2 linked regions of the Oryctolagus cuniculus genome follow. The protein of the gene in region 1 binds, or shares a complex with, the protein of each later gene. Links are inferred from orthologs where the notes say so. Each region holds a gene or a part of one and is shown on either strand. Other genes may lie near its edges. The genes, in order: PRKAA2 and PRKAG1.

Region 1 (4,612 bases):
ATGGTTAGTTAAGGCAGTGTAAAGTACTTTAAGAATCTCAATGTATGGTCTCTTTGTACCAAGTTTCAAGAAACTAACTTCAGTAAAGAGTTTTCAACATGTTTGAAATGGATGTTAGAATGAAAGACAGAAACAGCTCAAAAGCTGAACAGGAATTTTGTTCTCTTGCTCACCTGAATGAACACTGAAGGACGGAAGGAGTGACCCTGAACCAAATGAAAGTTCAGCATTAAAAATGACTGGTTGTGCTCTCAAAATTGCCAGCTAGGTAGTGTGATTCTTAAATGATACTTCTTGTCAGCAAGAAAGATGATCCGAAGAATGAACGAAAATAGCCTCTGTGTAACAGGTGCGATATCTGTAATTTATAAGTGGTGTTCATCTCTCATCAGATTGTCTTGGTGTCTAGCCAAGAATGAATAGATGCCATTTGTATATTTACTACTTTTCAGAAAGCAAAAAAAAAAAAAAATTTCACAACCTAGTCTTTCTGATCAATATATTCTTTACATGTAAGCAGTATAACAGACTTCAAGCTTGAGGAATGTGACCTTGAAACTCCACTAGCAAGCACAGTGCTAAAAGCATCTCACTAATTTTTAACAATTCATCTTCAAATAGCAAATAATCTTAAAATTAATCTTTAAAAATTTTACATCATTGAAAAATGAAAATTTTACACACATCAGATGCAACATGTTGTTTTGAAATGTATATAATAGTGGAATGGCTACATCAAGCCAGTAACACATGCATTAGTCATAATAGCTGTTTTTGTGGTGAGAAACAAATAATTATAGTAATAATTTTGAAAGATAGGACAACATTGAAGAATAGGATACTATTAAACAAAGGAAGGAAAGAGGGGAAGGAATGAAGAGATGGAAGAGATCAGCACTTCACCTAGTTCTTTCTCTCTCTCTTTTTTTCTTTCTTTTTAATATTCCCTCCCCAGGCAGGGGTGGTGGTGGTGGTGGGGGAGGAATCATGATTCTCATTTCCTCTTACCATTTTTTTCTACTTATCATACTTTAAATTGTGTCTTTATACTGTCCTTGCTTTTCACAATTCCTTTGTCCTTCATGTACAAGGGTACTTTAAATGTTCGTGGAACAATGAAATTAAAAGGCAAGCTTATTTTGGTGCCAAAGACTTTGAAATCCATGCACAGTTTTTCATCATACACATTTTCATGAACTTGATGAAGACCGCTCATTCACGTGTTTTTCAAAGTAAACATTTCAATTAAATTTATCTTCCATGGGGTTAAAAATTAATTTGAAAGAGAGAGGGAGAGGGAAAAGGAGAGGGAGAGGGAGAGAGAGAGAGAGGGAGAGGGAGGGAGGGAGGGAGAGAGAGAGAGAGAGAGATCTCATCTGCTGATTCACTCTCCAAATTTCCACAAAGGCCAGAGCTGGGCCAGGGCCAGGAGGGGAGCTGGGAATTCAGTCCAGGTCTCCCACGTGAGTGGCAGGGTCCCAAGGGTCTGAGTTATCCTGCGGCCTCCCTGGGTCTGCATCAGCAAGAAGCTGGAGTCAGGAGCGGTGGCCGGCTATGGGGCGCCGTGTCCCTCCAAGAACTTTTTGGAACACCTTTGTAATTTACTTCCTGTGCACTCACCATTCCTTCCTGGGCAGCTCTGTCACATATCATTTCCCTACTGTGTATGTATATAGGCAGGCGATCAAACACCCGAGCTAACACGGCGACGGGGATTTACTGGAAGCTGCACATCGGTTACAGCTGAGATCTCTCTTCCATCTAAGGACAAAGCAAGTGAGAATGATGAAGTAGGCAGAGGAGGACAAGTGAGGAGAGCACCGCTGTGAGTGCTCCAATAGCTGGATCAGAAACAGCCGAGACCCCGGCAACTTCCCCGGGGCGCTCCCCCGACTGCCCTTTGCACCGGCCCCTGGCCTCCGCCTCCCAGCCCACATCGCGGTTTGGGGCTTTGGGCCTGTTTCTCTTCAAATTCGACTTCCACCTCTTTCCATTCCCTCAGATCGGATCCAGGTCTCACCCCCACAGTCCCATTCTCTCGGCTCTCCCTCAGAGAGCGCCCCCAGCCACCCTCGCCCTCGGGTCGCCGCCGCCGCCCGCCCTCTCAGCACCTGCCGCCCGCCGACCCTCGCTGCCATCCGCGCACCTGGCTGGGCCCCGCCCTCTCTCCCAGCCTGCGCCCCGCGCCCTCAGCGCGGCCGCCGCCGCCTCCGGCTCCGCCACAGGCGTCGGTCACGCCGGGCCGCGGCTCCCCGCTCCGGACTCGGTCGCGCCCTCTCCCGGGACCCCGGCCGCCGGCGCCCGCGCCCCTCGTCGCCTGCGGCCCGCCCCCCGCGGGTCCCGCTGCACTGTGGGTAGGCGGCGGCGGCGGCGGCGGCGTCCGCGCTGAGGGGCCGCGGCGGAGCGAGGCCGCGCGAGCCGAAGATGGCTGAGAAGCAGAAGCATGACGGGCGGGTGAAGATCGGTCACTACGTTCTGGGGGACACGCTGGGCGTCGGCACCTTCGGCAAAGTGAAGAGTTGAGTACGCGCCGAGGCCGCAGCCGCTCGGGGCTGCGGGGCTGGCGGGTGGCTGGGCCGGGCCGAGCAGCGAACCGGCGCAGGGCCCCGCGGCAGGTGGCGCGGCTCCGGGCAGCTGAGAACGTGGACCCCGCGCGGGCGGCGGGCAGCGCCTCGCCCAGCAGCGGCGCCCCGGCCTGGCAGGCGGGGCTGGGGGCGAGCGCTAGAGAGTGGGCTGGGGGACAGGGGTCCTGGGCTCCAGGTCCAACGCCTGTCATCTGGGCGGTGGTCGGGGCCAGGTGCTTCCCTGCTGGCGTCCCCTTCTGCACAGCTGGGAGGTTGTAGCATACCCGTCAGGTGCCCTCCAGCTCGGACACCGTGTGGGGAGAGCTGGGCAGTACTGCAGGCTACCCGTAGATGATGATTGAGTTGCCGTTTGGTGCCCGGCGCCCTATCAGGGGCGTTACGTGTGATTTCTTTAAATCCGTACTTGGTCCAGCTGTGACCCTCACCTTGCAGGGGAAGCAAACTGGAACCCCTAAGGGTTGAGTAGCATGCCCAAGGTCACACTGAAATTGGCAGCGCGGGATGAAGTCTAAGATGTCCTCCGGTTCTAGCCTTGCTCAGAGGTCCCTGCTACCCCCAGATTCTGTGATGTTGTAGCACTCTGGGTTGGCAGGGCCTCCTGTTAAGCGGACGCCCAGTGGGCCGGCGAGGGTGGGCCTGGGAAACGCTGGAATGCCGCTGGGTGGGCTCCGATAATTAGACCTAGGAGGGCTCGAGGTTGATTGGTTTGAGTGCAGGGGCTCCAGGAAGCCTCTGGGATGATGGAGAGAGATAAAGGTATTGGTGTTGGAGAAGGGCTGAGGTCGGAACTGCTAAGAAATTTTTGCTGAGGTCTGTTTTCTTGGAGATGCAATTACACTTAGGGTGTAGAAAAATAGCCTGCTTTTGAAAGTTTATACTTCTTATTAGTTAAGTAATTAGTAAGAAGAACTAGTTAGGCATTGAACTTTGCTGGGGGTGGGGGGATGGACACACACACACACACACACACACACACACCTTCTTCCATCCACTGGTTCATTTCCCAAATTCAGGAGCTAGAATCTTCATCCAGGTTTCCCACCTGGGTGGAAGGGACCCAAGTACTTGAGCCATAACCTGCTGCCTTCCCAGCTCATTAGCAGGAGGCTGAGTCAGAAGTGGAGGAACTGGGACTCCAATCCCAGGCACTCCAGTATGGGATTTACAGGTCCCAAGTGGTGGATTAAGCAGCTGAGCCCTCTTCCTTTTCCATTTTGTTCATAAGAGTTATATGAGATTTAGTAATCATGTCCTCTCTCCATAATTGGAGCCAGTTTATTTATTTATGTATTTATTTATTTTTAACTTTTATTTAATTAATATAAATTTCCAAAGTACAGCTTATGGATTACAGTGGCTTCCCCCCCTCCATAACTTCCCTCCCACCCACAACCCTCCCCTTTCCCACTCCCTCTCCCCTTCCATTCACATCAAGATTCATTTTCAATTCTCTTTATATACAGATCAGTTTAGCATATATTAAGTAAAGATTTCAACAGTTTGCACCCACATAGAAACACAAAGTGAAAAATACTGTTTAAGTACTAGCTATAGCATTAAATCACAATGTGCAGCACATTAAGGACAGAGATCCTACATGAGGAGTAAGTGCACAGTGACTCCTGTTGTTGACTTAACAAATTGACACTCTTGTTTATGGCCTCAGTAATCACCCTAGGCTCTTGTCATGAGTTGCCAAGGCTATGGAAGCCTTTTGAGTTCACCAACTCTGATCATATTTAGACAAGGTCGTAGTCAGAGTGGAAGTTCTCTCCTCCCTTCAGAGAAAGGTACCAATTGGAGCCAGTTTATTAAAAGTACTTTGTTGCAAATCCAGAAGTGTAAGGACAATGTTGTTTTTTGTTTTGTTTTCTTTTTGCTGAAGACATCTGGGTAGGCTGGAAATTCTACTCTGCTGTCTCTGTTTCATTGTAGACTTCATGTTTTAACCTCAAGTAAATGTAGAAGAGACTCATTGTTCGTTCTTGTGGCAAGATCAGTGGGAATTTTCTTCCACATATCTGATA
Region 2 (2,645 bases), on another chromosome or scaffold:
ATATAAACAGGGAAAGTGGGGGTTAGGAGAGGGACAGCATTCAGACCAGAGAGAGAGAGAGATGGGAGGAATCTCCTTTTCCTCTTCTACTCTTTCCCCTGGTCTTTGAGTATTTAGGGCTTTGGCTAGGCTGACGGCAAGATATGTCTTTTCTTTTCTTTTTTTTAATTTTTATTTATTTATTTTCATTATATTTAAAGGGCAGAGAGACACAGATCTCCCATTCACTGGTTCACTCCCCTAATGCCAGACCAGGCAGAAGCCAGGAGTCAGCACTCAATCTGGATCTCCCAAGTGCTGCAGCCTGCACCCGCTGCCTCCCAGAGGGCACGTTAGTGGGAAGCTGGAATCAGGGCCGTGGCTGGGACTCAAACCCATGCACGCTGGTATGGGATGTGGGCATTCCCAAGCAGCACCATAACTGCTGTGCCACACACTGGACAGATAGCCAGCGCTCACCTGGCATTAGGAGAAATGCAGACAAGCGGCTTAAAGGAGTCTTGCAGGTACACCTCTGAAAGGGAAAAAGGACGGGTCCTGCAGTATCCCCATGGAGAAACCTCCGCCCCTTTCGGCCTTTTACAAACCAAAGTCTCCACGTACCTCTCCAAGTTTCTATCTTGTGTTCTTCTAGTTCATAGATTTGTACCTGGAAACAGAAGCAACAGAATTGGAAACCTAATCTCCCGGATTCCTTAACCTCCATGGCGTGCTTAAAGCAAAAGAAAGAGCAATGAGGGTCTTTGGACAGGGACATGGTTTTGGTCACTGGGCTAAGGCTCCTTACCAAGGCAGATTTATAGTAGCGGTGCAGGATGTTGATGAAGTCCGTGATGGTCAGCATACCTGGAGGCCAAGACGAAGCCCTCAGCACTGCCCAAAGCTTTGCCCTCTGCCCAGCAACCCTCTGTCCCAGGCACTTTTGCTTACCCACAAAACTTTGCTTCTTACTATCCCACAAAGGGGCAGCTCGCACACCATTAGTCACCAGTGCAAAGAAAGCTTTCTTCACCTGTGGCCGAGACAGTAACGGTTTAAGAGGAATTCACAGGGTGCAGGACTGCAGCAAAGAGGGGTTGGTTTATTTTGGAAAAACCTGAGACTGACCCCATAGAAGGGCAAGGCTATCACCGTTGGTAGGATACAGGCTGAGCGGTATGGGACCAGAGGCTCCGAGGAAGGGGGATGGGACAAAGACTGCTTCACTCACCTGCAGAGAGGTGTCAAATACAACGAGTTTGGAGCTTGTGGGTATCAGGTCATAGCAGCGATGAGACTTCATGAAGGAAGTATACACGCTATTGTTGGAGTCTGGGGTGTCTGCATAGGGTGTGGCAATTAGTGGCTTCCTTCCACGGAACAAAAGTTTCTAGTTTCTCAACACTTAAATAATAGCTTTTATAAGACTTCCTACTCTGTTAAGTTCCTACGGTTACCACAAAGCCTAGATAAACCCCTTAGAGGACATTTCATCCAACCCCTACCCCCAGTAAGACTAAATCTATTAGTTGCCTCCTTAGGTTGAAAAAAAAAAAAAAAACAGGACTGACTAAAACATGAAGTCTGCAACAGCTCTCATTAGCCTGTTCCAGTCTAAATGTTTTTTTCTTATTTTTAATCCAAGTTCTCCTTCCATATATTTAGCACATTTTCACTTGATGTCTTTTCTCAGTGAATACAAAAAAAAAAAAAAAATCAAATAAGCTTCTTAAAATTCTCCCAAGACCAGTCAATGAGAAAGTCATGGTCCAAACTGGGCTGTTTCCCATCCATGCTGGGTTGGAGCCCTGTGCTCATAACAGCATGGCCCCAGGCGCCATGGGAATCCAATTGAGGCTCACCTCGTGAATCAAAATCCTTCTACCCACTCCAGACAAATGGGAGATCCTTTTCTTTCCTGTGATTGGAACTGCCTACACAAAACTGGAGAATCAAATCTCCAAAATAACAGCCTGGGTATGTTCAGTCCTATGCTATATGTACTTAAAGATGGTATGTCACCGAGCTCGCCGAGGTCGGCCCTGTCCCCCCGGGGTTCAGATGAAAGCAGGTGTACAGCAGCTAAACAAACCATGCGAGGTCATTCCCACTGGGAAGCAGCGAAAAAGACTCAAACCGAGAGCTACCTGATTCCAAAGGTTGTAAGTTCATGCTCTAAAATCCAAGGCCAGTTTGATTTTCAACAGTTGTGGTTTTTTTTTTTTTTTTTTTTTTTTTAAACCAAAGCTATATGGGCACAAAGTTTAAAGAACCAAATAGTTTTACAAGTTTGATTAAGAAAAAATAGCTGGCCGGCGCCGCGGCTCACTAGGCTAATCCTTCGCCTTGTGGTGCTGGCACACCGGGTTCCAGTCCCGGTCGGGGCGCCGGATTCTGTCCCGGTTTCTCCTCTTCCAGGCCAGCTCTCTGCTGTGGCCCGGGAAGTGCAGTGGAGGATGGCCCAAGTGCTTGGACCCTGCACCCGCATGGGAGACCAGGAGAAGCACCTGGCTCCTGGCTTCGGATCAGCGCAATGCGCCAGCCGCAGCGTGCCAGCCATGGTGGCCATTGGAGGGTGAACCAACAGCAAAAGGAAGACCTTTCTCTCTGTCTCTCTCTCTCACTGTCCATTCTGCCTGTCAAAAAAAAAAAAAAAAAAAAAAAAA

The links.
Region 2: the proteins of PRKAA2 (region 1) and PRKAG1 are in contact, whole or in part, in a crystal structure (PDB 6B1U), measured with the Homo sapiens proteins. The link is inferred for Oryctolagus cuniculus from reciprocal best matches to the Homo sapiens genes PRKAA2 and PRKAG1. Residues at the interface, in NP_006243.2 of Homo sapiens: Asp329, Asn330, Ile333, Met334, Ala337, Phe340, Tyr341, Leu342, His366, Pro367, Glu368, Arg369, Met370, Pro371, Pro372, Leu373, Ile374, Asn444, Val446, Thr447, Pro530, Arg531, Leu532, Gly533, Ser534, His535, Thr536, Met537, Asp538, Glu541; in NP_002724.1 of Homo sapiens: His36, Asp40, Leu41, Ile42, Pro43, Thr44, Ser45, Val50, Phe62, Leu64, Val65, Thr66, Gly68, Val69, Arg70, Trp75, Ser77, Lys78, Lys79, Gln80, Phe82, Pro158, Glu159, Ser160, Gly161, Asn162, Lys170, Arg171, Lys174, Phe175.

What each region holds. Positions count from the first base shown.
Region 1 is NC_091438.1:116,548,240-116,552,851, reverse strand, and holds the start of PRKAA2 (5'-AMP-activated protein kinase catalytic subunit alpha-2), read left to right. Parts: upstream 1-1,773; 5' UTR 1,774-2,424; coding exon 2,425-2,518; intron 2,519-4,612. UniProt on the Homo sapiens protein: Catalytic subunit of AMP-activated protein kinase (AMPK), an energy sensor protein kinase that plays a key role in regulating cellular energy metabolism.
Region 2 is NC_091442.1:52,469,924-52,472,568, forward strand, and holds part of PRKAG1 (5'-AMP-activated protein kinase subunit gamma-1), read right to left. Parts: intron 1,321-2,645; coding exon 1,211-1,320; intron 1,013-1,210; coding exon 931-1,012; intron 847-930; coding exon 788-846; intron 650-787; coding exon 604-649; intron 515-603; coding exon 460-514; intron 1-459. UniProt on the Homo sapiens protein: AMP/ATP-binding subunit of AMP-activated protein kinase (AMPK), an energy sensor protein kinase that plays a key role in regulating cellular energy metabolism.